4 linked regions of the Notamacropus eugenii genome follow. The protein of the gene in region 4 interacts with the protein of the main gene of each other region in a biochemical or structural test. Links are inferred from orthologs where the notes say so. Each region holds a gene or a part of one and is shown on either strand. Other genes may lie near its edges.

Region 1 (7,546 bases), about 380 Mb from region 4:
TCTGCACTGCCTTCTAATGCCCCACCTTTTTACTGGGGGAAATCTGCAGATTTACAGATGGGTCAGTCCATTGAGAGGCAGCGTAGAGGAACTTGTCTCCTAGGCTTGTTGTGAGGATCACATGAGTTCATGAAGGTAAAACACCTTATACACTTGTCAGTCCTGTAGAAATGCTGGTGAAAGGTGGCCACTGAGCTATTCTTGAAAGTTTGTTGTTTTTGATGCCCAGAACAGGGACAGAACTTTGCCACAATGCGTAAAATGCTCCTTCCCTCTAAGGGTCACTGACTCAACCTCCAGATTCACATTTTCTCCCTTGGGTTTTCTTTTGCTTTTAAATTACAAAATAATTGTAAATCAAGTCTGTTACAGGAAGTAAAATAGCACATGGTGTCCAGTGTTCTGCTTGAGAGGAAGTAGAGAAATCCTCATTATCCACCCCCTGTCCAAAGCCTACACCTACAAACCAAAGGTAAGTTTGTGTTCTTTACCCTTTGAATCCTTTTTTACTCAGAGAAAAACTAGGGCCTGGGACCCTCCATTGCTCAATACCTTCTGTTACCTGGTGGACAGAAGTGCTTCCTTAGGAACAGCTGCCCTTCCAGGAATTGACAAAATAGCTATCATACTGATGAAGAAGTGGGGTAGAAGGAGGAGAAGTATTAGTTAGTATTTTCTTCATAGCCTCACATGGATTCTTTTAGCTGGGTACTATCATTGTACTCATTCTACAGATGAAATGAAAGTTATTGTGGTTGTGACTTGCCACCCAGCATCTGAGGCAAGATTAAATAATTCAGCTCCATCAACACCTTGTGGAGAAGGCCTTTCTTGGCATCTCCATCTGAGAGTGCTTCCTTATTCTGAGGTCACCTTGTGCTTGCTTTGTTTGAGTCCTGTATATATATGTATGTGCACATACTTTGTTTCTCCCAATAGAATCTGAACTCCTTCAGGGCAGAGACTTTTTCATTTTGTCTAGCACAGCACCTGAAATGTAGAAAGAAGGACTGAGGTTAGAACTATGATTTCTTTCAAATAGAGAACTTACAGGTGAACAAACTTCCTCTGTCAATTCATTTTTTCAATTTTTACTCTTAGCTACCTAGGGTATAGAAACTCATGGACTTGCCCATAGCATACAGTCAATCTGTGCCAGAGGGCATATTGAACCCAAGTAGGCCCAGCTTTCTAGCCACTACATCAAGCTGCCAGGCACATTGTTGTTCAGTTGTGTGCTACTCTTGTGACCCTGTGGAGCACACTGTCTATAGGGTTTTCTTGATAAGGATACTGGAGTGGTTTGCCATTTTTCTGTCCAGTGGATTAAGGCAAACAGGTTAAGTGACTTGCCCAGGGTCACACAACTACTAAGTGTCTGAGGTTGGATTTGAATTTAGGTCTTTCTGACTCCAGTCCCAGCTCTCTACCCACTGCACCACCTAGTTGTCCCATCTATGTATTAGGCACATAGCTAATATCTATCTAATAAAAATGTGTTGGTAGACTTTGTGGACCACTTCCCTATTCCTTGACTTTGTCTTCTTAAAGGTAGTGTAATGGAAAAATCATTGCACTTAGGAATTAGGAGGGAACTAACTTTGAATCCTTCCTCTGACATCTGCTGTGTGATCATAGACAAGTTATGTAAACTCTCTGAGCCTCATTTTCTTCATCTTCAAAATGGGGATAATAAAATCTCTAGTACTCACCTCATTATATCTATGCATCTACCCATCCGTCCATCCATCCATCCATCTATCTATCTATCTATCTATCTATCTATCTATCTATCTATCTATCTATCTATCTATCTATCTATCTACCTCCATGTATCTTATGAGGAGGTTCATTATTTTTGGTAGAAATTACCCACAGGTTGGTGAGCTACCCATGTGAAATGTGCCATGCCATTAGTGAACAAGTACTTTGTCGCTGTTGTGTTGTGGTTTTTACTTTGTTAAACATTTCCCAATTACACTTTTTAAGTTAATATTCATTTTAAAAATGATTCCAAATTCTCTCCCTGTCTCTAGCTCCTTCTTTCTGATTGAAAAGGCAAACAGGCAAACCGATTTACAAAGAAGAAGGCACTAACTGCTACCAAAAAGAATGAACCTCCTCATTTTGTAGATGTGGAAACCACAGTTTCCTCCAGAAAGGTGAGTGACTTTCCTAAGGTCACATGCAGGTAGTTCACAAGAGAACCAGGATGGTGAACCCAATTCTTCTAATAATAAGCTTACTGGTGAGGTAGGTGTATTATTCTCCCCACCCCCACCACACCTGCATTTCATAGATGAGGAGATGCTTCTGACAGGTGGTGGAGGAGGGATTTGAACTCAAGGCTTTCTGACTTTGTGCCAGAGGGCTGACTAAGTTTTGACTCTAAATTAGTGCGTCCCACTTTTCATGAACCCAAATCAGGGTTTCTTGGTAAAGATACTGAGGCAAACAGGGTTAAATGACTTACCCAGGGTCATACACAACTAGTGTCTGAGTCTGGATTTGAACTCAAGTTCTCCTGACTCCAGGCCTGCACTCTACCCGGAGCCACCACAACCTCAGTTTTGATTCTAAAAACAATGTTCTGCTACACCAGCTACCCATCTGAAACAGATGACCTAAGCACTCACACAGCTGGATTTCAATTTCAAGCCCAGTTGTTAAATGAAAACGAGTGTGAAATTAAACACATACACAGACAGACAAGCTTTAGCTTAAATCAGCCTTATAAAAGAGAGAGACAAGCAGGCTGCAATTATTTAGCATTTATTATGCACACACAGTCTGTGAGGCGCTGACAGATCTTGGAACCTGGCAGGATTTGGTTAGTGTTCATATGTCTCTAGATAATTTATAAATTAACTGTGTCCCTTTAACCGTGTTTTTAAAAAATGGCACTAGCCCAGCGTACCACTTTCCATTTGGGCATATAATGAGACCACATCCATTCCTTTAATGTCTACTTTTCCTTTGATCTAACAATTTCTGTTCAAATTTCACAGTTTTGCCTGCTCTTTCCTTCTAAATGAACAGGTTGCCCTGCTGGGAGCATGAAATAGGTTTGGGTTTTTAGAACCTGCGTGATATTCCCTTCCAGTGAAATTGATTTCGCTTTAAATACAGCGGAATGGCGAAGCCCTTATCTTTAGGTGTTTTTTTCTCTCCCACCTCAACAGTTCCTCAACCTGCAAGGACACCCACTGGCCTGCTGCTAAGTCTTACTTAGCGAGAGGGTTTATTTAACGCGCTGCTGGAAAGCCCCCCACCCCCACCCCTAACGCCTTTTGACGTCTGGGCTTTGTTTGGTTCATGATGTTTCAATCTCTCTTGCTTCTTAGAAATCCAACCTCCCTAGCGGTCCTAGGCACAGGTGGGGTGGGAGGATTGGTCCAGCTGGGGCTCCGGCTAGACTGGCCACCAGGAGTGGTTGCGCCGTGGGGGTGCGCGAGCCATCAAGCCCAAGGACAATCGGGGCCCAGGGTCGGGGGTGGGAGTGGAAGGTCAGGACACACCGCTCCCCCAGCAGGTAGCCAGCGCGCTCCCTTCTGCCTTGCCTTCAGCCTTCCGGGACCGCGCCTTCCTCAGCTCCCCTTTCCCAGGGAGAAGGCTTCAGTGGTGGCCCCGGCTCTTGGAAGCCTCGCTTTAGAATGATGCTCCAGATCAGACCCACAGGCGGTTGTGCTCTAGGCTGCCTGACCCCGAGTTTGTCCTTGAGGCTCGGGAACCTCTCTTTGGAATGCTGGACATTATGGAAACCCAGGGAAGCGGCTCTCGTCTTTGCGCCGGTTTGACCCTGGTCTGGCCCGGGGTTCGCGGGGTTCTGATGTCTGCCACTATTGGTGCCTCCCTTTAAGCCTCGAGTTCTCATTCTCGGTATGTGAATTTAGTTTAGAAACAGATTATAGGTGTATCTCTATATGATTGTCCTCCTTTGGAATCCTACATATTTTATTTAGTGTATTTGAAATCATGGTTCTGAGAAGTCTTTCTCAGGTCTCACCAGACGAAATGTCCAAGGAATGAATACATAATGCCAAAAAGGGAGAGCCCGTTTTAGAACATCGGGCTAGATCAGCCCCGGACTCACGCCCGCTTCACCCAAACACAACGCCCGTATTCGGGATGGGGGCGCAGGATGCAGATCGTGGAGCCCCCTTGGAGAGTTGTACTGGGTTGGACTGACCTGGGGCAGCCGCACTCTATCCGCCCTTTCAACCCAGGGCTGAGTCCTGGCGCTGATGAGGCGTGGAGATAGCCTCCACCTGGGCAAGGAACGTGGGGCAGAATCGTGCCCACTGGAGCAGCCGGACTCGGGTCCCAGGCTCCCTGGAGGACGTCGGACTCACCTGGACACCAAGCATCTAGCAGCGCTAGAGCTGCTCTGCCCTGGGCCCCCGAGTGCCCTGCGGCGGCGGGGCTGAGGTAATGAGGGCTCGGCCCGAAGGGCTCGCACCTATCTCGACTCCTTCGGGCCCAGCCTCTCCTTTCAAGCCCGCGCCGCCTCGGGCTGCAGCCCGGAGAGTTGTTTAGCTAGCAGCCGCCTGGCATCGCCGCCGCGGCCGCGGCCGCTCCTTCCCTGTTCCTTTGTGTGGGCGCGTGGAGTGGAGGAGGCGGGACGAGGGGGAGGGGGCTGAGCCTCCTTTCTGTCTGTCCGGGTCGGTCGGTGTGTCTGCGTGTGTGTGTGTGTGTGTGTGTGTGTGTGTGTGTGTGTGTGTGTGTGTGTGTAGGGGGTGAGTGTCACCTCCTTCTCCTGGTGCTAACTGGAGAGGAGGCGGGCACCGAGGGAACCAGGGCTCGGCTCTCCACCCGAGCTTGGGACCCATCTCCAGAGAAACTCAAGCCGGAGCTGGGGCTGGGGCTGCGGCTGGGACTGCCGCGGGAGGAGGACCTGCAGCGCCCGGGCTACGTTGCCCGCCCGCCCGCCTACCTCGCTCCCCGGCTCTTCGTGGCTCCGCTCGGCTCCGCTGGCACCTCCCGCGGGCCGCCCAGAGCCGCGCGAAGCGGAGCTGCGAGGGGAGGAAAGCTCACTTAAATAGCGGCGTTGGAGGCGCGTCATCTGGCGAAGCAGGAAGTGCAGCCCCGTCCCGAGGGGGGAGGGGGGGAGGACGCGGCGCTGGCGAGGGAGGCTGGGAGGAGACCGCCGCTCTGCGCTCTGCGTCCCCAGCACTTTGCCATGGGCTGGGGGCAGCGGCGGCGGCAGCAGCAGCAGCAGCAGCAGCGCCAGGACCGCGGAGGCAGCAGCAGCACCAACGGCAGCAGCCACATCTGGACCAGAACCTAAGAAGGGGCGACAAGGGGGGAAATCCAGCGAGGGGGTGATGGCAGCGTCCAGCAACTCCAGTTTGTCTGGCTCCTCGGTTTCCTCGGGTGAGTTTCCATCTGCCGGTGGTGGCCAGCTGGCCTCAGCGCCCCTTTCCCCATCCCTTGCCCCGAGGAGTCTCGGTCCTGATCCTCGCATGTGGGCGCCGATATACCTGGAGCCGTGCCCGTCTGCCTTTTCGCAGGCGTGCCACTTGTTTGGGGGAGGCGGCTGCTTATTTCCCAGAGCCGAGCCATCGCTCGATCTGTCTTCCCCGGGGCAGACGTGGGAAAAGGAGAGAGCGTCCTTGGGCAGCGAAGCCAACCTCCCCTGGGGTCCTAGGATGCCCAGAGTCCCGGAGAGTAGAGGGGAAAGCGGACTCAGACTTTCCCCACCCAGCTCCTTGGGGGTTGCTGCCTCCGGGGGGGGGGGGGGGTCGGCTGGGGATGCTAAGCACCCCAACGTTTCCCACTGCTCTGACTGCCCAATTCCTAAACCAAAGAAGAGTGAACCCCCTTTCTTCGCCTACCAGATTTTCTTTGTTTGTTTCAAAAATTAGTACAGTGTAGACTGTTAAGAGACTTGTGCGTGCACGGGGCATGTCTTAGATAGAAGGAATGGTGGGGTTTATCTCTTGTTCTAAACCGCTTAAAGGCGAGCAAGCTGCTCACTCTTTGCTGTTTTACAAGTGGTGTGTGTGTGTGTGTGTGTGTGTGTGTGTGTGTGTGTGTGTGTGTGTGTGTGTGTGTGTGTGTGTGTGTGTGTGTGTGTGTGTGTGTTGGCTTCACGCTTGTAGGTCTTTTTTGGAGAGCTACTATGCACACTTTTACCTGCCCTGAGTGAACGAACACAGGCTTGCCGCTGCTCTGAGGTTGGTCAGCCGCTCTCCAGAAAGAGAAAAACATTGATCAGGCGAGCGGAGTAGCAATCGATAGAGGCGGGTCCGCTGCTTTCTGTGCATGACAGTTTTCTAATCAGGGTGATCCTCGGAGGACAAGAATCCCTCTCAGGTCGTTGAAAACTTTAATGACAAATGCCAAAGTGATTCAGGGTTCTAGGGGATGGAATATCAAAGGAGTCTGGCACACGGGGACATCGTGAGTCTTGATGGAGTCACTGAGTATATTGATGTGTGCGATTTTTCCCAATTGTTAGAGCCCTGGCTAGGAAATTCGCACCAGGGGGCAGACTGAATTCGGGTGCTTCTGGTGCGGTGATGAGTGGCTGGAGGATATTTCCTCCAGCAGGGTTTTCTTCCCCGGCAGAGGGTGTCATAATATACATTCCAAAACAACACTGTTTAAATCCCTAACCAAACAGGAGATGGGGAGGGCTATGGTCAATGTCAGAGTGATATATAACATTTCCTGTTAATGGGAAGTCCATATATCAACCTCTCAACCAGGATACATATAGATGTGTATATATACATACATACATATGTAACACATATTATACATTATATTTATATATTGTATTGTTATAGATAATAATATGTAATATATTCAGTTCAGTGTAATGGAAAGAATGAAGTGAGAGGACCTGAGTTCTAATCCTGTGTGATCTCAGGTTCCTCTTCTGTAAAATGAAGACTGGATTGTCCCTAAGGGTTGCACCAACTAGATCTCTACATTTACCAGGTGCACTGCCCTCAGTTGTCCTCTTCCCCAGTTGAATTTGCAATGGGAGCCAGAGAATGGAGGAAGATGGCCAGGAAAATAGAAGCCTAGGAGCTGTTGACTTGGGGACAGCCATTGGGAAAGAAAACAGGAACTGGTGTACTAAGCAGCCTCATCTGGTTGAGAATCATGAAGCATGAGGGATAGTGGTTCCTGAGAAGAAGAAAAAACTACTTAGTGAGACATAGCAAAAATTGTCCTGCCCAATTTACAGATTTCTCTCTGTGTGTATGTATATGTATGCATATATTTGACATCAGAAGAAATTTGAAGCCATTAAGAAAAAGAAAAAAACCAAGCCTTTGTTAGCCCTGAAAAATCAAGCAGTCAGAAATTGGGCTTTATCTGCGGAAGTAACTAATTAAATCATGATATGCAGGACAAATTTTACTGTAGTCACTTTGTCATGTGTGAACAGTTGAGGGTTTTAAAAACATCTCATCATTTTGGGCAACTGTACTGATGGAAAAGTCCTCCTCTGCTCTTCCCCCTCCCCCAGATAACCAATAAAACACATGGTGTCAGTAAGGTTATAATCCATAGCAAGTTTCCAGTATCAGTA
Region 2 (7,982 bases), on a different chromosome or scaffold from region 4:
GGGCCTTAGTCTGACCATTTTACTAGTAGGCATATACAGGGAGTTCTTTGGAAAGTGCAGAATCCAGGTGAAATGAAAAATGCCTAATCAGAAATCCCACAAACTGTTTTATGTTTGATGAGGTTTAAATAGCAACCTCTTAGAAAATTCTAACAGTTCTAAGTTATTACTGAATCTTGTTTTAAGTTTATTTCTATCAAAGGTGTGCTTGTGAAGGTTCTGTGTTTAGCATTCTCTTTATGTGTAGGAAATCAATACCAATCCCAAACCTGATTCATAAGGTACATTCGGTATTTTTCCTTTTGGGGAATTCCTAGACAGGAGGCTAAACCAAAATTTTAAATAATTCATCCCCAGGAGCATTAGGGTAAGGGTTTAATTATCCCAAAAATCTGAGAACAGGGAGTCTAGTCTTCCTCTCATTAGTCTGTCCAACTAACATTAACTGTCTATCATGTATCGAGCACTATGCTGAGCTAAGGATACAAATAAAGGCAAAACAACTAGTCCCTGCTCTCAAGGAGCTCACAGTTTAATGGAGGAGACAACATGTAAAAGATTTTGTACAAACTATATACAGGACACATTGGGGTGATCTCAGAATGAAAAGCTTAATGCAGAAGGTTTAACTTTAGCTGAGACTTGAGGGAAGCCAGGAAAGCTGGAAGTTAAGAGATGAGAAGGGAGAGGGTTCTAGCCAGTGAAAACCCTGAATCAGGATAGGGAGTGTCCTGTGAAAAGATCAATAAGGACATCAGTGTCACTCTATTGGAGAGTATTGGAGACTAAAGCGTAGGAAAACTGGAAAAGATAGGAGCCAGGTTATGAAGAGCTTTGAAAGCCAAACAAGATTTAATAGTTGATCCCAGAGGTAAGAGGGAGCCACTAGAGTTTATTAAAATTTTAGGGGGAGGAAAGTAGCCAGACATGCATTTTAGGAAGATCTATTTAATAGCTGAGTGGAAGACAGACTGGAGACAGGGAAACCAACCAAAGGCTACTGTAGAAATAGCCCATGTGTGATGTGATACAGGCTTGTACTAAGGTAGGTGCAAAGTTAGAGGAGAGAGAGGACCTATAGTTAAGATGTTATGAAGGTAGAAACAATAGTCAACATTTCTTAAGCATCTAGTATGTGCCATACATGTGCTAAGCTATGGGGGATACAAATATAGAAAAAGGCAACTCTTGCCCTCAAGGAGTTTCCCATCTAACAGGGGAAGACAACATACAAAAGAAAGCTGAAGGGGGTTTCAGAGAGGAGGTACCTGGCCCAGGGGCATGGTGAAAAGTCAAAGAAGACCAAAATGAATGCCATAGAATGGGAATGAAGAAATATCTGTGAGGTCTGACTTGTTCCTTTTCCTTAAATGGAGGAGTTTATACCTCCACCCTCCAATCAGAGGGGCAGAAGGTACTGATGAGGTATGAGTAGAAATGATTGAACTTAACTGTACTTGGGAAGACAGAAAGTGAGAAGCTGAGAATGACAGGTTGTATGCCTGGGAGAATGGTGGTCTTCTCAACAGGGAGTAAAGAAGTTTGGAAGATGGAGAAAGAAAATGGTGTGAAAGATAATGAGTTTGGTTTTGGACATGTTTTGTTTAAGATGTTTACTGGACACTCAGTTTGAGATGTCTAAAAGGCGAGTAAAGGTAAAAGCTGGAGTTCAGGGGAGAGGTTAGGACTGGACAAATAAGATCTGAAAGTCATCTGCATAGAGATGATAACTGAAATAATGGAAGTGAATGAGACTGATAAATGAAATAATATAGAGGGAGAAGAAGGGGGATAGCCATTGTTAGCAGGCATGACCTGGCTGAAGATCCAGCAAAAGAGACAAAGGAGTGGTCAGGCTTGTAGGAGAATCAGGAGAAAGCAATGTCAGAAAAACCAACAAATTAACAATATCAGAGGCTACAGAGAAGTAAAAAATGATGAAGACTGAGAAAAGGTGATTCGATTTGGCAATTAAGAGATCACTGGTAACTTTGGAGAAAGCAGTTTTGGTTGAATAATGAGTCAGAAGCCAGATTGCAGAAGGTTAAGGAAAGTGAGAGAAAAGGAAGTGGAGGCACTGGTTGTAGATTGCTTTTTCAAGTTTGGCCACAGAAATGAGGAGGGTTATATAGCTACCAAGGATGGACAGTACAAGTGGCGGGGTTTTTTTTAAGCTGGCAGAGACATGGGCATATTTATAGGTAATAGGGAAGTAGACAACAGACTGGGGGCAAATGAAGATTAATGAGAGGGGGCAATCTGCTGGAGAAGACTGGGTGGAATGGAATTAGCCCCAAAGGCAAGTGGGCTCAATTAGGAAAGATCCCTTGCTGCAGTTGAGATCATGCAACATAAACTTTTAGTGGACCTAGTTAGCAAAGTTTCTTGATTTTTCTCTGACTTCATTCAGTAATGCCTTTAGTAGGAACAAAGGCAGTGAGTGCTGGGAGTAATCCAAGGCTGGAATATGAGAAGACAAACTCCATAATCAGGGTTAATCAGCAAGGGACTGGAGAAGATAGGGTAAAGTTAAACTGGTTCCTAAGGAGGACTAGGTAGGGAAGGAAAGAGAGTATAAGTGCAAGGATGATGGTCAGGGAAAAAACTGAAGGTTTTGGAGGTCAAAATAAGAACAAAGAACAGAGCTTAGAATTGTAAGGCAGAGGGAGAGGTGGGATGAGAACACACTGATCAGATAAAGGGATTTCACAATTTATGAACATAGATATGAAACACTTGTGGATGATGACAAGATCAAAGGTATGACCATCTCTGTATGTAGCTCTGGTATAAACCTAACTATCCTCCCATTGACCTAGATCTGACTGTGTGTCTGGGTCAGGAGCAGAGGGACCCTTTAGTGGAGAAGAGTGAGGATAGTATCTGGTTCTTCAATGTCAGACTGGCATAAAAATAAAAGGAAACATTCAACTTTTTAAAAAAGTTCAATAAAATAATCACTGGTGAAATTGGAAGACAGATTGAAAGTCAAATTCTAGAACCACATTCATGTTTCAGAAGAATGCAAAGACAAAAATCTGAAAGATGACAGAAGAATAACACACAGACGCTAGTGTCTCTAGAATTTTAAGTAACATTCAACTTTTTGGTAGTCTTTAAATATGAATTAGAATTAAATTTAGCTTAAAAGTCACTGTCTACTCAGTTAATAAGCATTAAGCCCTTACTGGCAGACATTATGCTGTCCTAAATGCACCTGTCCTCTTATTATTAATATATTATAATTAATAATATTATTATTCTCTTATAGAGAAACCCTAGCGGGGTTATTTGGGTGCTTAAACACAGCGTGGAACATCTCCACAGCAAAGTGGAAGTCATCTGGTAAACTGTGGTATATAATATTTAGATGGGTTCCAGGGTGGGGAGGGGGACAGCCACAGCCAGGGCTCCTAGAAACCTGGCATCTTTAAGAACTCTGACATTTAGATTCACAGATCAAACATGATTTTAATGCACTTATATTCTAATTTACTACATATAGACAATGTACTTGTTTCAACTCCCCTACTATAACTGGAAGCTACTGTACCTTATTTCACCTTCATATCTTATCAAGTGCCTATCTAGTATGGAAATTTCGTCCACTCCATACAGGTAACTAGCATGTAACTTTTTGTCTTACAGTTGCCCGGTGGCACCGACAGGAGAAATCACTTTAGCCAGGACAGAACTTGAACCAAGGTGTTCCTAACTAGGCAGTTAGTTTTCTGTCCAGCATAAGAAGATGCCTCTGTATATAGCAGGGAGCTCATTAAATGTTCGCTAAATAAAATGATTCATCAGCTACTGACAGATAAGCTAGGTGATGAAATGGATAGGACCTTGGACACGGGAGTCCGGAGGACCAGAATGCAGTTCCAATCCTGCCCCAGACATTTACTAGTTGTTACTTTGTATAAATCACTTACACTCGCTCCGCCTGTTTCCTCACGTGTAAAATGGGGATGCTAAGAGCAGACCTCGCGGTACGTGAGCAGCAGATGTGATGATAAATGTGAAGTGCTCTGCAAGCTTCTGGGAGCTAGACGCTAGCTGTCATGGTCATTAAAGCGCTCTATAAGTATTACTAATAAAACGCTCTACAAATGCTATTATTATTATTATCATACAAGGCTAACTTAAGCGACTTTCCTCAACTGACGGAAAGGCGGGGGAGGGAAAGGGGAGGCTCCCGCGGGGGTGCCTGATTCGCAGACGCCTCCCCTGCCCTCCCCCCAACTGGAGGGCATCACATGCCTAGCTCGACTCTGGGGCATCCCCTGGTTTCCATGGAGACAGGGAAGGGAGTCTGGCCCTCCGGCCCAGCCGGATTCACCCCACGGGCTGTTCTCTGGGAACAGCACAGGCCTCAGGCCCGGCACCGGAAACCCTACCGGGCACGCACAGACACCCCCAAACCGGGGCCAACCGGGAATGCCTCAGAAGTCTCAGTCGCCGCCAACCTCGGCAAGATGGCCGGGCGCAGGCTACTCTCTTTCCTCCAGAGCATTTCTCTATGGTCCTGGCCCGCTTCAGCACCTTCCCTTCCCCCTCCCTCCCCGTGGGTGGGTGGGTGGGTGGGTGGAGGCTGAGGAAGGCCTCCTTCACCTCCTAGCGCCTCAGCCTACTGGGGGAAGGGACAAGTGGTGTGGGCGCTTGCGCAGACCCAGGCCGCCCGCCCGCCCGCTCGCTTGCTTGCTACCGCTTAGAGGCTGGCGAGCGGAAGTCGCGTGACCCCGGAAGCGACTGGAGGGGGCGCGCGGGCGGGGTGGAGCCGGCCCACTCGGTTCGTCGTTAGTGCGGGAGGGAGCGCGAGAGGCGGCGGACGCGTCGAACTCGTCGGTGAGTGAGTGACCGGGCTCCGGGGAGTCCACCCTTCATCCCGGAGCCGCTGCTGCTCTTCCGGACCTCCCCGGGAGGGCGGGACGAGGAAGGGAGAGCCGCCGCCACCGGCTGGAGGGGAGGGACGTCAGGGTGGAGCCGTCGCCGCGGCCGCTGCAGCCTCTGCTGCTGCCTTTGTTCTGCCGCCCCCAGCCTGGGCGCGACGTCTCCGCCCGGAGTCCGGGGTCTGGGGTGGAGGGCCTCGGGGAACTCTGTCCCCAGCCCCGCTGGGAGGCGGCGGCGGCGAAGGCTCTCTGCACCCAGGGACCAGGGGTATCCGCCCGGGCGGAGGCCGCGGGAGGGGCAGCGCAGCCGCCGGGAACGGGGGAGGTGACAGCTGCTCGGGGCTTCCTGCTGGCCCCCTGGCAAGGTGGGGGAGTACGGGAGGGGGAAGCTGCCCACCCATCCCCGCCCCTTCCTCAGCACATCCCTTCCGGCAGAGCCCCTTAGAGGGAAGAGGCTGAGATGAAGCCCAGGCAGGCAGAAAGAGCCAGGAGCTGGCCAGAGGCACAGATGGCGTCCAAGGTGAGCCGCGCCCACGTGGAGAGGAGAGGAGAGGAGAGGGGGCAGCCAGAGGCAGGGACAGGGAGGTCCAGGCTCGGAGGAGCAAGCCCCGGCTCCTGGCAGGCAGCAAGTGGGGCGAGGCGGCGTGCCGAGATTGACAGCCCTTGGAATGGAGGGAGCTCGAGGAGCCCGGGGGGTAAGCCAAAGAGGAAGTGACCCTGGAGGCCATGGAGACTTGGCCCTTGGGATCATGTTTAGAAATCAGTCTTTCCTTTCTGCGCCCCACATTTGGTCTTTTAAAAAAAATCCCCTTTTTTTCGGAGCCACCCACACTCTAACGGCATCCTAGTGAAACTGGCTGCACTATAGGGGGGAGGAAAAAAAAACCAGTAGATGTCAAAGAGCTCCTCCCATTCCTCTGAGCCCCTTGAGGGCAGGGGACTGCCTTTTCCCTCTCTTGGTATCCCCTGCGCTTAGCACCGTGCCATACCACTACTCTGGAGGGGGCCTTCACATGTTTATTGACTGATTGAAAAGAGCTTTGGCTCTCAGTTCCCTCATTTTTTTTAAAAGAGGTAGTTCGACTAGATCTGGGCTTTCTAAACCTTTTTTGTTTGTTTCATGAACCCCTTTGACAATCTGGTGAAACCTGCGGACCCCTTCCCAGAAGAAAGCTAAATTTCAGTTAGTGAAAATAAAAATGAATTTTTCTCCCCACTCAAATTCGTGCATTCCCCCCTCTCATCCCAGATTAAGGACCTTTGGATTAGATGGTTTCTTTGGTCCTTTTCTGCTTTAATACTTTATGAGTCTAAATACTGTCTGTGATTATATCTCCTGTTTCTAAGGAAATATACTACAGGTTGGATTCTTAATATTAAATAATTTCTGGACTGCTTGATTTCTTTTACCTTTGGTTCTAAATTTATGCCTCTAGGGATGTTGGGAACTGCTTAAAATTCATCCTGTTCCCATTCCTAAGCCTGTTTTCTGTGATTGCTTAATTTATCAATATTTAGGGAAATAGAGTTATGGGCTCTTATTCTGGGCCCTGAATCTCGGGGTTATTCTAGGAACTTCATTCTCTTCCCAAATTGTTCTCAGACTGAGGATGATGACCTAGGATCTAACCCTATTTGGGCTTCTGATTTTACATAAGAGCCACATCTCCTGTTACTTAGATGATTTCTGCAAATCCAAATGCAACATGAATGGATTGTGGTTTCATGGTGATGCTATTGAGGGATTGGGATGGAAGGGCAAGGAGAAATTTTAAATCAATAAGCATTTATTAAACAACTGTGAGGTGCCTCACATTGCTAGATACTGATGTTACAAAGACAAAAAAAGGAAACTTCTGCCTTTGAGGAGGAGCTTAAGGTTCAATCAGGGGAAACCAAATATGCACCTAAAAGTCTATATTGAATTACTTTATATAAGGTAAAGGTGGTATGAAAGGCCTCATGAGGGAGGGCTTGGAAGGGAGAGAGGCATTCTAAGAGGATCCACCACGCATGGAACAGCCTGTTCCAAAGCATTGAGGCAAGAATTGGAAAGTTGTATGTACAGGGAATAATAAATATCAAGTAGGTCAGTTTGACTTGGACCATAAATTGTTTGAAGGGAAGTAATATGTGATAAGTCTAGAAAGATGTGTTGAAGCCAGGTTGTAAAGGGCTTTAAATCTCCATACAAAAGAATGTTCAGTTTTATCCTAGTGGAAGTAGGGAGCCTCTGGACTTCTTGAAAAGGGTAGTGACAGGGGCAGGTTCTACTTTAAGAATATCCATTTAGCAGGTTTTTGGCTTCCTGGATGTAGAGCAGAGACTGGAGGCAAGGAGACCAATTAAGAGGCTATTCAGTTAATCAAGCAAGCATTTTGTAATTCCCTGTTATGTATCAGGCACTGTGGAATGCAAATAAAATAAATGAAATAATGCCTCTTCATAAGGTGGTTATGGTGTGGTGAACCCAGATACCTGATAGTTGAGGGATGGAAAACTTCGATGGAAATGGTGGTGCTTGAGCTGGGTCTCAAATAAAGAGGTTCTTTCAGTTGGAGGTAAGGAAGGATTGCATTCCAAGTATGAGGAACAGTCAGTGCAAACAAGGTATGCTGTACATGGGAGATGGAAGTGTCACTTATGAGGAACAGAGGAAAAAGGACAGTTTGGTTGGATCTCAGAGTTTGAGACAGGATATTATGTCTTACAAGGCTGAAAAGATATGATAGGGCCAGGTTGTGAAAAGCAGACAGAAAACCTTTAGTAATCCAGGCAAGAAATAGTGAAAGCTTGAACTACTCTGATGTACTGTTATGTGTAGAGAGAAGAGTATAGATGTGAGAGATGCCATAGAACTGGCGTGGGGAACCTGTGGCCTTCTAGGGCCTTAAGTGCAGCCCTTTAACTGAATCCAAATTCACAGAACAAATCCCCTTAATCAAAAGATTTGTTCTGTAAAACTTGGACTCAGTCAAAAGGCTATACCCAAGGACCTAGAAGGCCACATGCTCACTGTCCTCCCCCTCCCATGCTCCCATAGAATCATCAAGAATTGGCAGTTTTGATTTTAAGTTTCTAGGAGGTCAGAGA
Region 3 (7,726 bases), on a different chromosome or scaffold from region 4:
AATAGTTTTAAATTGTGAATTGCTAGTGTTGAGCTACAAAACTGCTTAAATATTTGTTGTTAAAATTATTTTGGTGAAGCAGGGTATAGTGGCAAGGATTCAGATCCTTTAAATTTTAAAGAAAACAAGCACAGACTGCATGCCCCTCCCCCTTGTCTATCATCTCAACATTTGAGATGCAGTGAAATTCAGATTTTTTTCATTTTAAAGGAAAAATTATTCCATCTCATAGTCTACTTTCAAGCGAATCAGAATTGTATGCACTACAGCATATGCTATTTGATATGTACAGCAATATTTTTTAAATGAATAACTTTGTATAAGAAAAGAAGTAGATTTATAATTCCTCTGACATCCCTCTTGATTAGGAGAACTTTTCAAAACTGAGGTTCTACCCCTAGAAAGTCTTTTTTGAACCATGGATATTTCTTAGTTTATAATTTCATCATATATGATGACAGGATGATCTTACACTATAATCTCTGAAAATGAGAAAATAATACTCAATTAAAGTGATTGTTCAATGACTTTAGAGGGCTGGGTCTCAATATTAGCATTCATTTTGATACTTTTTATTTGAGACTTCTATAAGCCTAACTTATAACCCTCTACTTTTTTTCAATAGATGAGGTGATCTCTGAAGTTTTTAAAGAATACCTTTCCATAATCTAAAGAGAAATATTAACTCGAAACCACTGATTACCAAAATTTACTAGTTAAAATAACTCTAGAGGCCTATATATAATAGTATACATTTCTAGAAAACTGTGTTTGCTATCAACACAAAAGATTAAGTTCCTTAAAGTATTGCTTTTAGAACCTATAACAAATATTTTCTGTCCATAATTCTGCTAATTTATCATTTAGTTTCAGTACTTCTCATCTGGTTTTTATTACCAGAGATACTGATATCTAAATGATAACAAAGTCTTTGGGGTTTCTGAAAAGTTAGTTCCTACTCCTTTTTTCCTATCTTAAATCACAATTCTATTATGACATTAGGATCATTTACAAGCAAAACATTTTTATTTCAAGGTCAGGCAGAATAGGATGAACTCATTTAAAAAAAAAAAAAGAGGGGTCATTTTTTACGAAGTTGTTCCCTAGCAAGAAAAATATGAAAGCATGTGATATGGTTCATCTTTGGATCCCCCAAGTACTTGTAATAGTGAGCGCTTTTCTATATTGTAAGTGCCCCATAAATATTTTCTGATTCTCATAATCTGCTATCAATAAAGAAGATTTGTCTTTTAAAATGAAAGAAAAAGGACATATTCAAACTTATTGGTGAGTTCTGTAACAATGTATCTTTCTATAATATTTGACTATAAACGACTTGTGTTGTATTATGATTAAAGTGCTACTTCATTATTTGGAATGGCTAATATATAGTATACAAATATTAAAAATATATAATTCATTCTTTTCCAGACATCATTCTAATTCTGAAGTGTTCAAATTTAGATATTCAACCTTTTTATAATCATTATTCACTAGTTTTAATGCTGTTTCACAGAAGAAAAAAATTGGAAGTAGAATTTGACATTTAAAAGAGGGAGCATCCTTTGTGCAGTCCTTTGCACCGGATCCTCCCTTTTCTCATCTTCCTGTCCAGCATGAAGATAAACTTTAGGCTCTCAAAGATAAGCAGGTCAAAGTTCGCACATATGTTCCTCTGAATGAGTGAGTGTGCAGCTTATTGGCTGCAGACATTATGAGTAACAGGGTCTCTAGGGCTAGATCAGTTCTGCTCGGATCCAAGGTCTAAATCTGGGAATAAAATTCAAGCATCTTAAACCAATACTCACACGTTTAGGGGTTTTAACTGAAGGGATCCCAAGATCCTTCAGACTACAGGAGGAATTCTTGCTACATCGAAGTAATTAACCAGCTTTTGTTGCGTGCACGCGGGGGAGAATTACAAAGTAACCAGTGCGTTTAGACCCCCTCCTTCTTCTTCCCCCTCCCCCCAAAAAGAGAAAAGTTGAACTGTTGAGCGTGACCGAAGGTTTGGTCCCGAGAGTGGCACTTCGGGAGACGGTGCCGCATCCAAACGGGTTTTTCCGGTGGGGTCACGGAACTGGAGCCCCCTCGACTTTTTATAACGTCTGAGAAGCAGAAGTCATGGCCAGTCTGCGCGGGGGGACTCTGGTTCCCTCCCAAAGCCGGAGCGGTGGGCGGCGGTGGCAGAGGACAGAGGACGGACGCATGGCTAGGTCTGGACGCCGCCGCGCCTCCTCGGGCTCCGGGTGCCCCCGCCGCCGCCTCGGAAGCCCCTCGGCTCGCTCCGGGCCCGGCCCCCCCCGCCCCCTCCCCACGTCCCCCACACAATGGCGCCTTTGGAGCTCCCGCTCCCCGGGTCTGGGGGAGCGCTGCTCACCCCGCAGAAGCCGCACGCCGCTTTCCGCGCTGACCCGGCTCTCCGAGGGAGATCAGCGCACAAAGGAAAGTGCGTAGGGCGAAGTCCCCAGACCGGGCGGGCTGGCCGGGAGGCAGGCAGAGCGCCCCGGGGCAGCGCGGCCCCTCTGGCCGCTTCCCCGCACGCCCCAGCAGCCCCGAGGTTAGGTCATTGTGCCCGAGCACATTCAAAGGCGTTTCCCGGCTTCGGCAGAGGTGGTCGAGCCTTGGAAGGGAGAGGAAGGGGCGGGGGGTGGAGAGAAAATGGGGTGTGTAGATGTGTGTGTGCCCTCCGGTGAAACACACCATCCGGCCAGGGCTGGCACGATCAGTTCTGTGGAGGAGAGCAGGGGGTGGGGGTAGGCAGGGTGGGGTGCGGTGGGGTGGGGTGCGGTGGGGGGAGCGCGGTGGAAGGCGTGGAGAGGAGATATTGCACTTACTTTCTCTATGGTCCCAGGGAGCAGGCGGTCCAGCAGCCTGCAGAGGACCACCCCATCTTTCAGAGACGACTGCAAAAAGCCCTCCGGGTCCGAAATGGTTTTTTTGGGCGACTCCAGCACCCCCAAGGTAATCAGCCACGTAACGGTCTGTTCGGCGGAATTCATAGCTGCCGGAGGAAGAGGAATCCGCAGGGAAAAGGGAGAGAATTGCCCACGGAGCCGCCTCTCTCCCCCCGCCCCCCCGCCGCCTCTCTTTTTTTTGGATCCCCCCCTTTTGGCTTGTGGTTTCACATTGGAGCAGCGGCGGCTGGAGCTGCTGATCCCTCCTCCTCCTCCTCCTCCTTCCCCATGTAGATGCAGATGATGACGATTGGCTTTGCGAAATCCAGCAGGTCCAGTTTCTCCCTCTCTCCCTCTCGTGCGTTTTGGCAGACTGTCAAGTGCCTTTTCATTATATGCACATGAACCTGCATCAGCAGCAGCCACAGCCGGGCGCCTCCTCCTCCTCCTCCGAGCCTTCCTTCAGCTGCTGTCGCCCAATGACATCACTGACAGGAGGAGAAGAAAAGACGCCGTTTGCCACCAGCTCCACATCCTGTCATCGTCTTAGCGTGTTCTAGCCATGAGCACGGGCCCTAGCAGAGGCGCCCGGGGGGCGAGGCTGGGGTATCCGAGGCGTGCTGGCGTTCCAGCACGACCCACAGATACAAAGACGTGTCTCCAGAGCCAGTCTGCAAAGGTTTATCCAGCAGCTGACGTCCTGGACCAAGTGCCAGTGTAGAATGTGGTCGTGGGATAGAGGAATTCACAGATCTAGACGCTAAATATCTTTAGTTGGTCAGGTGTATATCATGTAAAGTCTTTTTTTGGGTATAGTGTGTCTGTACCATCTCAGCCAAGGAAGCACCGTCTGAAAGAAGTCCCTTTGACCTCTAGAGAAACTAGTTCATTTTCAGTCGCGGGTGGCAGCCTTTTATCCTCGAACTGTACAAGTGCGAGGTGCCCATGTGCACTTTCCTTTATACAATATGTTAACCATTTGCGCTTCTGCCTGGGCAATTTTAAGGAGACACCATCTGGAAGAATCTTCCTTTACTCCTTTCATTCTCTGTCCTTATGCCTCACTCCTTTGCTTAAAAAGACTTACGGTTTTTCGATTTTTATAATGTGTTGTTAAAAAAAAAAAAACCAACCACCCAAAGTTTCCCATAATGCTCCCTCCTCCTTTTATTTATGACAATTTTATTTTTTTTTTAAATGTGAGTGGTGAGGAAGGGGGCCCCAAATACGTGGCATTCTCCTCACTGTTACAAATCAACAATCACGTAATATACTTTTTTTTGCCATGTCCATGGGTCTAAATTGGGCAGGAGTGGGTTTTCAATAATGCTGTGTGTCCCTGTGAACGTGAACTGCAATCTAACTCAGTACAGCTTGAGTCTTGTGTGTCCCCTAGTGGAGGGTTGGTTAATGTGGCTTGCTGGCAATTAGTGGCCCCTTCTAGAGGTTTGGGTGAGGACAGAATATCTAGTAGAAACTTGGTAGTTATTCCATTTTAAATGGAGATATTCGATCCAAAAATCTAGGGGAAAAATCAGAAATGGTATTACACAGAGACATAAGGAAGACTTATTTTGTATTTAATCAATATTGGGTTTGATTGATTTCTTAAGTTGGTTTGGGAGGAATGTCACAGTTAGATCCAGTCAATTTTTTTCTACAAAGAACTTTAAGAGTAGACATGGGGCATACAGCCCATGGTTAGCATGTGGGAGCATGGTGGGGATGGTCAGTTAGGAACTGGTATCATTTTTCTTTCTTTCCTAGCCTTAGCTTCAAAACATGCTGTGTAAATGAAAAAAAAAAAGACTTATTTAAGAAAAAGAAAGAAATGGCTAATGATATTTACACATTTCTTTCATCTCCATACGGTTCACAGGAGAAATCAAGTCTTTTATTGAAATAGAATATGCTGGCTAAAGCATTGGCTTTCCTTTGCTACATTTATTTCCACTCATTATGTCTACAGTCTGCCAATGTTTTCCTTGTTTGCTTTTTTTGTGACTTTCCATAATGATAGTTTATGGAAAGGACTGGAAAGCTATATAAGATTTTTAAATATCCAAAAGAACTTTACAATGCTCTCCCCTACCTCAACTTCTGCTTTCATTCAGTACTCCACTGTTGTAGGCAATTAATACCATTCTTCCTATGTTTTCTGGTTCAACTTTACTGCCTCTATTTCCTCTTCATTATTTTAATATTCATTCACATTTGTATGTAAATACTCAAAATAATGCCAGAAGCAGCTTGATTTTTTGGACAAAAATGGCAATAAATACCATATTGTTTTCATATCAAGGCATCGAATCTGTTTTTATGTCCCTATAATTATACAGAGAGGCAGTATGTCATAGTGAATGCAGAATTGGCCCCCAAACCAGAAAGGCCTGAGTTCAAGAAGTCCTACCTTTGGTCCATCTAGGTTATTCAACCTTGGGCAAATCATTTAACCTTTCAGTACTGTAAACAGTTCTCAGACGACAAGCCACAGAGACAGTCACAACCTGAATTGGTAGACGGAATTTCTTCATCTGGAAATTCCCTATTCTAATGAAATCAATCAGTCACCTAGTATTTTTTAAGCATCTGCTGTATTCCAGGCTCTAAATGATGGGAATACGAAGAAAGGCAAAATGTAGTCCCTGCTCTCAAGAAACTTACAGTCTTGTGGGAATGGGGGAGAAAGCATGCAAACAGCCATGTACAAATGATGGATACAGAATAAGTTGCAGATAACCAACAGAGAGAAGGCACTAGCATTAAGGTCCACTTCTTATCCTCATGATTATGCTAAATAAACATAAATTATGCTGCTTTCCTTATATGATGACCAAGAAAAGGGAGGTAAATATCTGGTCCAAGAGTTTTAACCAAATGCTAATTATCAGTATTATTAACCTAAGCTAAGATTTCCAGAAAAATCTTTCCCTCCTCCCTTGTATTTACTACTATTAAGATGATCCACAGAAGGAATTTAGAATAATATCAATACATTTGCAGATAATGTTGTTCCTTGGGGCCTGGGGAGGGTTCTAGATGCTTAAGTTACCATAAAGTGGGAAAAGCTGTGAGCATGGGACTGTCATCCAAGGACCAGCCTAGGTTAAGATCAAAGAGCCTCATTGCCAGAAAGTTAACCACCAAGTGATGGAGGGCAGGTGAGGGGTAGTGCCAAGGGCAAATCTTGACATATCTACTAAGGCAAGAGATGGTGGGAATATCCATTAAATCAAAAATCTTTTGAAGTTCCTAAGAATTGATCAAGCAGAGCTGCTAATACTCAGAAGGACAGGAATAAAATTTAAAATGTCTTGATAAAATGGTTATTATTTGGACTTTTAAATTATGATGTATTTCAAATAGAATAAGTAATGGAGCTTTCATTAAGACAAAAATAAAATATCATCAACTATGACTTAGTAGATAGTAGATATTTTAGGCTTCATAGATAAGTCCTAGAGAGGTATGGAGGTTCATTAAATTGCCTACAGTCATGCAGCTGCTATGATGATCTTTAAGGTACATTCTAACTCTAAATTTATGACTTACAATTATCAAAGGTAAGATTCAAACCCAGACCTTTTTTGGCTGCAAGTCCACTATGCCATTCACTAGGCTATGTTGCCTGTCAACCAAGTTGGGGGAAGATTGGGTAGCAGGAAAATGTCCACCTAGCGCTAGGATATAACAAAGTGACTGTGCAAGGAGCAGGAAAAAAAATCTATCCGGTGAACTATGAATTAATCAATATTGTAACCAGTTGAGGTAACAACACTTCAAAAGATATATAAAAGAGTGTCAAAAGAAAAACAGCAAAATAATCAATGGAATAAAATTAAGATTTTAAATAAAAAGGTTGAAAGAATTAAAGTTGTCAAGGGAAGGAAAATCCTTTCGAATCCTTCAGGTATTTGGAAGGTGTTTCTAATGTAGAGAACACTGAAAATTTGCTTCCTATATCTGAGTAAGATCAAACAAGAAGACCAAATAAGTCTAATTTAAAATAGGACAGGCAAGATTCAGCTCTAAGAACCAGAATTTTAACTGGTTATGGGAAAGTATATTTTGGATAGTAACAATACTAATACTAAAATGCAAATGTAAAAAGAACTTTAGGGAGAAATTTCCCCACAACAACTCTGAGAAAAGTTTTGTGAATATTCTTACCCCCATTTTTAAGAAGAGGAAATGAAGGTTCCATGTGAATGTGAGTTTGGATTGGACAAAGAACCTAATCTAGTGGTGTTTGTGTAGTGAAGAGGTATGGCATGGGTACAAATAGTTATTATACAAAATCCATGAAACATTCAAGAAAAAAACAGCAGTAAGCAAACTATGCGTAATTCAAGGGAAAAGGTCAACATGAGATCAGGACAGACTTCTCCTAAGAAGTGATATTTGAGTTCAGCTTTAAAAAACAGGAAAAAAATATGGAGCCAGGGCATTCCAGGCATAGTAAGAAACTGGAGCAAAAGTATGATATCGACCAGCCTTGAATAAATATGCATGTATGTATGCATGTATACATGTATATCTCTGTGCATATATGTGTATAATAATTTTGTTGGGTTTTGGTCATTTCTGTCATATTCAACTCTTTGTGACCCCATTTGGAGTTTTCTTGGCAAAGAATTTGCCATTTACTTCTCTAGTTCATTTTACAGACAAGTAACTAAGACAAACAAGGTTAAGTGACTTGCTCAGGGTCACACGGTTAGTAAGTGCCTGAGGTCAAATGATTCCAAGTCCAGTGCTCTATCCACTTTACCACCTAGTTGCCCCATACGTAATGGCTCCTTCATTTCTTCTTAAGAAACTTCTTAATA
Region 4 (7,810 bases):
ATTTTCAGATTTGGCACACTTTATAATAATGTGTTTCTTGTATGTAGGTATTATTTCTCCCATTAGAATGTAAACTCATATTTCTTTTTTTGGGGGGGGACATGTCAGTCAGAACGTGGCTAAGGCAGAAAATTGTTTTGTACGTCTATACATATTTGTAATGAATTCTATTTGTTCTTGTTTCCTAAACGACTAAGGAAGAGGAGGAGTGAGGGAGAGAATTTGGAACTTAAAATAAAATAAAACTGAATTTTTGAAAAAGAACAAAAGTTCATTGCAAGTAGATTGTTTCACTCTTGCTAACTCTATCACCCAGTAGAGAGACTGCTTAATACCTGGTTCATTTTGTTTCAGAAACTATCTTGTTGCTGTTCAGTTGTTCTTCAGTTGTGTCTGATTCATCCTGACTCCATTAGAAATGTTCATGGAAGAGATATTGGAGTAGCTTGTCATTTCTTTCTCCAGCTCATTTTGCAGATGAAGAATCTGAAACAGGGTTAAGCAACTTGCCCAGAGTCATATAGCTAGTAAGTTGTCTGAGGCCAGATTTGAACTCAGGAAGATGAATCTTCCTGACTGTAGACCCAGCACTCTATCCACTGTGCAGTATAGCTGCCCTGATTTTTTTTTCCAAATTCTTTTAATTAGAATGGTAGCTTTATTGGATAAAAAGAGAATGATGAAAAAACAAACACAAAAAATCAATGAGCCCAGTTAGCTTCCATGCCTTTTGCAGTTGTGTGGATTCTACCTCTACAATATCTCTTACATACATCCCTTTCTTTCTATTCACAGCCACGGTCCAGGTTTGGGCTCTCATTACTTGTCTTATACTACTACTGCAATGACTTCCTAACCAGTATTCCTTCTTCTAGCCTTTCCTCTCTCCAATGCATTCACCATAGCATTTGTGGACAAATTAACATTCCCAAAACATAAGTCTGTCTGTATCATTCCCCTGCTCAAAAAAATCTTCAACAGCTCCTGATTTTTGTTTCTAGAATAAAATAAGAACTTCTCAGCATTTAAATTCCTTCACAATCTGGCTCTCATCTACCTTTTCAGCCTTATTCTATACTATTCTCTTTCATATCCTTAATTTCCTACCAAACCAGGCTACTAGCTATTGCCCAAATTTACATTTCATCTTGCTTAAGGGTCTTCTCTCATTAAGCAAGCAAGCAATATTTATTAAGTACCTACTATGTGCCAGTACATAAGGGGATGTATGTACTGGGGATGAAAAAAGAGGCAAAAGTCAGTTTCTGTCCTCACAATTTAATTAAGAAGACAATATGCAAACTTATACAAACAAGCTTCATAAAGGACCAACAGGAAATAATTAAAAAAGAGAAGGCATTAAAATTAAGAGAGGTTGGGAAAGGCTTTCTGTAAACGATGAGATTTTAACTGGGACTTAAAGGAAGCCAGAGAAATCAGTAGGCAGAAGTGGAGGAGGCATGGAAGACAGCCAAAGAAAATGCCTGGAGCTGGAGGTGTCTTGTTTGTGGAAGAGTCAGAAGGCCAGTGTCACTGTATTGACAAGTACATGTTGGGGAATAAGGTATATGAAACTAGGTTATAAAGGACTTTGAATGCCAAACAGAGCATTTTATACTTGGTCATGGAGGCAATAAGGGAGCCATCGGATTTTGTTGAGTGGAGGAAGGGAGTAACATAATCGGACCTGTGCTTTAGGAGAATCATTTTGGTGGTTGAATAGAGGAGGATGGATTGCAGTAAGAAGAGACTTAAGGAAGGTAAACTCACTAGCAGGCTATTCCAGTAGACCACACATGAGATAATGAGACCTGAACTAAAGTGGGGGCAGTATCAGAGGAAAGAAGAATATATATACAAGAGATGTTGCAAAGGTGAAATCAACAGGTCTTGGCAACAGATTAAAAATGGCATGGGGGGAGTTGTATAAAAGATAGTGAGGAATTAAGGATGACACCTAGGTTGCCCTAGGTTTTGAACCTGAGGAACTGGGAGAATAGTGTTGTCCTCTTGAGTAATAGGGAAGGTAGCAGCAGGTGAGGTTTTAGGGAGAAAGATAGTAAGTTCTGTTTTGGATATGTGTTTAAGATATCTACTGGACATCAAGTTTAAGATGTCTGAGAGATATCTGGAGATGTGAGACTGGTAGTCAGCAGACACTGGGGCAGGATGGGTAGATTTGCAAATCATCAGCATAGATTTGGTAATTATTCCATGACAGTTAATTGACATCACCAAGTGAAAAAGTATAGAGGGAGAAAAGAAGAGGGCCCAGGACAGAACCCTGAGGGATACCTACAGTTTGAAGGCTTGATCTGGATGAGAAGCCAGCAAATAAGACAAAGGAGTGATCTGACAGGTAGGAGGAGAACCAAGAGAGAGAAAACCTACGTAAAACAGAGTATATACTCAAGGAGTAAAGGGTGATTAATAGTGTCAAAGGCTGCAGAGAGGTCAAGGAGAATGAGGTTGAGAAGAGGACTTTGGATTTAGCAATTAAGAGATCACTGACAATTTTGTAGTGAGCAGTTTCAGAGGAATAATGAGGCCAGAAGCTAGATTATAAGGTGTTAAGAAGGGAGTGAGAAGACAGAAAGTGGACACACCTATTATAGATGGACTTTATGAGGAATTTGGCTACAAAGGGCAGAAGAGATATAGGATGAAAGTTAGCAGAGATGGAAGGATCAACTGGATCCTTTTCAGGCCAGGAGAGACACAGGAATATTTGTAGACAGTAGGGAATGAGCCAGTAGACAGAGGCTGAAAATAAGTGATGGGGCAGGGATGATAGAGGGGAAATCTATTGGAAGAGACAGAATGGAATGGGATCACTTGAACAAGTAGAGGGGTTAGCCTTGGTAAGGACTAAAGCCTTAAATGTGGGACAGAAATGAAGGAGGAGAGAGAGGAAGAAGGTACCCAATGGAAAAGAGATGAGGGAGAGGGGAAAAGAGGGAGCTCATGTTTAAGGGCCTCAATTTTTTCTGTAAAATATAAAGAAAGTTTCAAAGCTGAGAGAGTGGGGGCAGAGGGGGCCATGGAGGTTTGACAAGAGATGGAAAGGTTTGGAAGAGTAACAGTGGGGAGTGAGATAGTGAATTGATAAGGAAGGTAAAGTAAGAGTGCCTAGCAGCAGTGATCAGGAAGGTGTAAAGGGGATATCTCACTCAGCGGAGGACCATTTGAGATTAAGTCACACAAATCTGCAGTACACCCAGTCAGCACAGTTGTGATTTTCTCCAGCTTTGTTTGCCAACACTTGAGTAAGTACAAGTAGCAGACAATAGAACTGATCCCAAGCTGGGTCTTGGCCATGTAGGAAACAGTGATAAGATAAAGGGGCAAAGGAATGGTTTAAATCTGGGGTGGGGAACCTCAAGTTCAGCCCTTTGACTGAATCCAAACTTCACAGAACACATCCCCTTAATAAAATAAATCAAATCAAATAAATTAAATTTGTTCTCTACAACTGGGACTCAGTCAAAAGGTCTCCCCCAAGGATCTAGGGGTGGTCCCCACCCCTGGAAGGGATTAGAAGTCACAGTGAAGCCAAGGAACAGGTTTAGATAAGCCAGAGGGAAATAAAGAATAACTTAGAAGATCATTATCGGATAACCACGCAGGCGGAGCACTCGAGGGTATCCCCACCTCCGTGCCCAGCTGAGGTGGCACGGAGGGGCTGGGAAGTTCCAGTGTTTGAGGAGTACCTCTAGGCACGTTAAAGTCCGATCCCAGCAGGGGATCCATCCCATTGGGAGGAAGTGGGGGGAGGGGGGCGCCGCCGGCAGGTAAGCTCCCACAAGTTTGACTGGGCAGCCACGAGTTTGGAGGCGGGAGATAATTCCAATCCAACTCCCCCCCAGGGCGGGATGGCCGGGGTGCCAGCACGGCGCCTCTTCCCAGTCCGTTACCAGTGACCCTGTACCCGGCATGGTGCCCGTCTCTCAGCCTCCCCGCTCGCCGGCCCCGGCAGTCCCGGGAAGCGCGCTGCCTTCCACGTTCCTCGGCCTGTTACCTACCCATTGTACCCGCTTGTCCCCCAGTCACGGAGCCCGCTTCTAGGACCGAGCCCTGGGGCCCGCCCGGCTCAACCTGCTTTTACAGATGAGGAAACTGAGGCCGGGGGGGTTTGTTAAGTAACTTTCTGGCAGTCGGGGTGGAATCAGGCCGCTCACCCCAAAGCTACAGCCCCTAACTCTCTGTCAGAAATACCTGCTCCCGCGCCTAAAGGAGGGTACGGCAGTAATCCAACCTCAGCTCGCTCGGCCTCCGCCCTCTCATTCCCAAAACTCTGACCCGCGGGAAAAGGGGGAAACGAGAAAAGGCAAAACAAAAAAACAAGCAGGGAAGACCCGAGGTCTACGGGAATCAGGGGCGCGGGCGCAAGCGGTCCTTTTTTCCCTCCAGTCCCGCGGTCCTGCCGGGGAACAAGTTCTGACTAGGTCAGTAGCACAAACATGGCGGCCCGTCTTCTCCCTTTCCCCACCCCCAACCTCCTCCCGTCAGCCGCGCGCCCCCGCCCGCGCCGGGACGAGGCCGCGCGCGAATCTCCAGTCGCGCGGGAGGCGAGCGTTTCCGAGCATTTCCGAAACGGGACCTGGAATTGGAGGCGGGGCTCGGGCCGGAAAGAGCGGAAGCGAGAGGGAGAAGGAAAGTAGAGAGGGGCTGGCCCCGCCCAGATGGGGAGGGCGAAGGGAGCGGCCGCGGCGGCGGCCGCGACGGCGGGGAAGGAGCAGGGGGAGGGGAGGCCGGATGTGAGTGGAGCGGCCATTTCCTGTTTCTCTGCAGTTTTCCTCCAGCTTTGGGTGGTGGCTGCTGCCTGAGATCGCCTTCTAGTCGGCTAAGGGGCGAGGCGGCGTGGACTGCGGTCCCCGTCCCCCCTCTCTCCACGTACCGCCGCTCCCGGGGCCTTCCCCCGCCTTGTCAGGAGCCCATCCCGCCCGGAGCCCGGCGGTCCTCCCCTTCTGCTCCCGGGCAGCCCCGGCAGCCGCCGCCTCCACCTCCGCCGCCGCCGCCTCCGCGGCAGCCCCGCGAGCCGCCCCGATGCAGGCCATCAAGTGTGTGGTGGTAGGAGACGGGTAAGTCCCCTTCCCCCCACCCCCGCCCGCAGCCTTCCCCTCGTCCTCCCGCGCGGCTTCCTGCTCTCGGGGGGCGCGGGCTCGACCTCCGCCGGGGGGTGGGGGGGTACCCTGGGGGGCGTGCGGGGGCGGGGTCCGCCGGGTGTCCGGGGTGGGGCGGAACGGCGGGCGCCCCGCTTCGCGAGCCCGAGGTCGGGGTGTCCGGCCGCCCGCGGAGGGGCTTCCTGTAGGGTGGCGGCTGGATCGCTTGGGCCGGGCCAGCGTTGGAGATACCCCGGGGTGGGGCGGCTGTGGACCGTCCCGGGGTCGGACTCCCGGTGGGGCCTGGGCCCTTGGGGTTAGGCTCGGCCTCTAAGGATCCCGTCCTCAAGTTGGGGGGGTTCTCTTGAGCCCCTCCTCCTCCCCCGCCCGGACACTGTTCTCACTGCCTTCCCCGAGGGCTGGGTGGGAGAGGCCGCCAGCCTCTCCCACTTCTTGTGCCTGGGATGGTGTTAGTTTGTGCTCCGGGGTCCTGCCCTCTTTTTTTTTTTTTTTTTTTGGAAGCGAGGGATTGATTTACCCAACCCAAAGGGAAAAAGTGGGCTCCACCCTTTTGCTCAATTCAAAAACCCAGTTTGGATTTAGGCAGAACTTAAAGTTCATGAGATGAACCTCTGAATCAGAATGCCTGCCTTCCGCCCTCCCTTGTAGGTTAGGTAGAAAATTATTTTTCTTTTAAAGTGTGTTTCTGGTGATTTATAATAACTCCATTTCCTAAATCGAAGTAGCTTATTGAGAGCTAGGTGAGTACTTTAAAAATATAACTGTCGTTAAGGTTGATAATGTTTTAGGGTTAGCAGACTGCAGTGAAGGTGATTGATCTATTAGGTGGTCTAAAATTTTATATACAGGGTTTTTGTAGTCTCAGTTCCTGTACTTAAGTAGTTTTTGCTTCAAGGAAGCCTTGGTTTTTGCTGTTCTTTCGGTAAACTCTTAATGTACTTGTGGTAAAGAAGATGAGAGTGAATTTATTTTGAACACAGTAAGATGTCCAGAAAACTGATTTTAGCCCAATGGGATGCAGTAGAACAAGCTTCCTGAGGAAAAAATTGATCCCTGTGACTCAAGGCATATCATTTCATTACAGTTTGTAGTGTTGCTGGGTTTATGGGAAGACAAGACTTGCCTTATGCGATTTATTTTCCCCCTCAACTCCCCCCCCCCAAGAAACAAATATTCCAGTGTAATCTGAACAAAATTGTGTATCACAGTATTGCTTGTGCAATTTAGAGTTGGTCAGGACTCCTGAAAAATGCTATTAGCCTCATGAAATTTCTGCAACAAATGAATACATTTTCCAGTGTTGTGTTTGAATGTTTTTGTTGCTTAATAATACTCTCCAATAATTAATTACTGCTAGCTTAGTGAGTTTTTTTGAGATCTATATTTGGGTTTTGACTTTGTGCCTCTGTTAGTGATGGTTTTATTAATACCTAGCTTTCTATTTGAAATTTAGATTCTTGAACTGGCTTAAGATGTCTGATTGAAATACAAAAATCGAAAGGCTCGTGAATTTTTATGATAATAAAATTTTAAAGCAATATTCTGAAGGAGTTCCTAGTCAAATATTAAAATGGTAGAACTAGGAACTTGTACATTGGTAAGATAAGTTTAACCTTTTGAAGGAAAACAATTAGTTCTGGAAAACATGTTGAGTAAGTGGGTGTGGAAAATAAAATAAATTTATCTTAATCATGAGGTTGGGGTCCTCCTGTGATTAACTAGTTAAGAAATTTGAATTAATCTTGCAAAGTTTTTTTAGCCTATTCAGTTTCATTTTTCTTTACTGTTGAGAACAAGTTTCTTGTGACAAATTAATACATGGCATTTTTTTTTATTTAACCAACTACCCCTGGTCAGTTCCACATTTAGTCATAATGAGTAACTTGACTTCAAAAGATTTGTGATGTGCTCCTTCTATCAAAATAGAATACAATTCCTTCATTCTTTAAAAGTCGTCCTAAGTTTGCTGAGACCACAAAAATCTAGTGATCAATCAGCTTTCTGGTAATGAGCCTCCAACCTCTATGAAATTAATTAGAAAAACTCTTGTACAACTCGAAGTTCCTCGATAGGCCTGTTACTTGAAACTTCGCTTGCCAGAGCTTGCCTTCCCTGGCGTAGCCCTTGAAAACCCAGCATTACTTCCATGCCAAGATTAGGTATCAGAGCAGCATTTTACTAGAGGAGGAAATAATTTAAGATACTCTAAAAATTAAAACTAGAGGTTTTAGATCAGTTTAGTTTATTTAAATCTAACAGTAATACTTTTATTGATTTTGTTTATGAAATAAAATATGGAATGCCAGTTACATGAGCTATATTGCTAGACATAGGAGATATAAAAGTAAAAATGTAAAAGACCAGTCACTACTGCCCTGGATAGATTGGAAGACCTGAGTTCACTTCCTGTCTTAGACCCAGGGCAGGTCACTCAACTTACCCCACCCCTTAGCTTCAGTTTATCTGTTTGTAATATGGACAATAATACTACCTACTTCACAGTATTGTTGCTAAGGATCACATTAAATAATATATGCAAAGTACTGTATAGATGTTAGGAATTTGTATTCCCCTCAAAGAACTTACTCTATAGTTTATTATTTTTTTGTAATCTTGATTGATTAGGGCTAGGTGGCATAGAAATAAAACAGGAATGCTTTTTAGAAATGTCATCTTGATAATTTCCC

What was found.
Region 1: the proteins of RAC1 (region 4) and CHN2 form a complex in vitro, tested with the Homo sapiens proteins (2 studies listed by BioGRID). The link is inferred for Notamacropus eugenii from reciprocal best matches to the Homo sapiens genes RAC1 and CHN2.
Region 2: the proteins of RAC1 (region 4) and ARHGDIA are reported together in a solved structure, tested with the Homo sapiens proteins (2 studies listed by BioGRID and IntAct, with this or other methods). The link is inferred for Notamacropus eugenii from reciprocal best matches to the Homo sapiens genes RAC1 and ARHGDIA.
Region 3: the proteins of RAC1 (region 4) and ARHGEF7 form a complex in vitro, tested with the Homo sapiens proteins (2 studies listed by IntAct). The link is inferred for Notamacropus eugenii from reciprocal best matches to the Homo sapiens genes RAC1 and ARHGEF7.

What each region holds. Positions count from the first base shown.
Region 1 is NC_092874.1:20,084,065-20,091,610, forward strand, and holds the start of CHN2 (beta-chimaerin), read left to right. Parts: upstream 1-4,281; 5' UTR 4,282-4,428; intron 4,429-5,170; 5' UTR 5,171-5,324; coding exon 5,325-5,373; intron 5,374-7,546.
Region 2 is NC_092873.1:325,952,233-325,960,214, reverse strand, and holds the start of ARHGDIA (rho GDP-dissociation inhibitor 1), read left to right. Parts: upstream 1-4,741; 5' UTR 4,742-4,845; intron 4,846-5,324; exon of another isoform or gene 5,325-5,409; intron 5,410-7,982. UniProt on the Homo sapiens protein: Controls Rho proteins homeostasis. Regulates the GDP/GTP exchange reaction of the Rho proteins by inhibiting the dissociation of GDP from them, and the subsequent binding of GTP to them.
Region 3 is NC_092877.1:211,259,127-211,266,852, forward strand, and holds the start of ARHGEF7 (rho guanine nucleotide exchange factor 7), read right to left. Parts: upstream 3,075-7,726; 5' UTR 3,003-3,074; coding exon 2,838-3,002; intron 2,614-2,837; exon of another isoform or gene 2,464-2,613; intron 1-2,463. UniProt on the Homo sapiens protein: Acts as a RAC1 guanine nucleotide exchange factor (GEF) and can induce membrane ruffling. Functions in cell migration, attachment and cell spreading. Promotes targeting of RAC1 to focal adhesions. May function as a positive regulator of apoptosis.
Region 4 is NC_092874.1:396,153,897-396,161,706, forward strand, and holds the start of RAC1 (ras-related C3 botulinum toxin substrate 1), read left to right. Parts: upstream 1-4,738; 5' UTR 4,739-5,046; coding exon 5,047-5,081; intron 5,082-7,810. UniProt on the Homo sapiens protein: Plasma membrane-associated small GTPase which cycles between active GTP-bound and inactive GDP-bound states.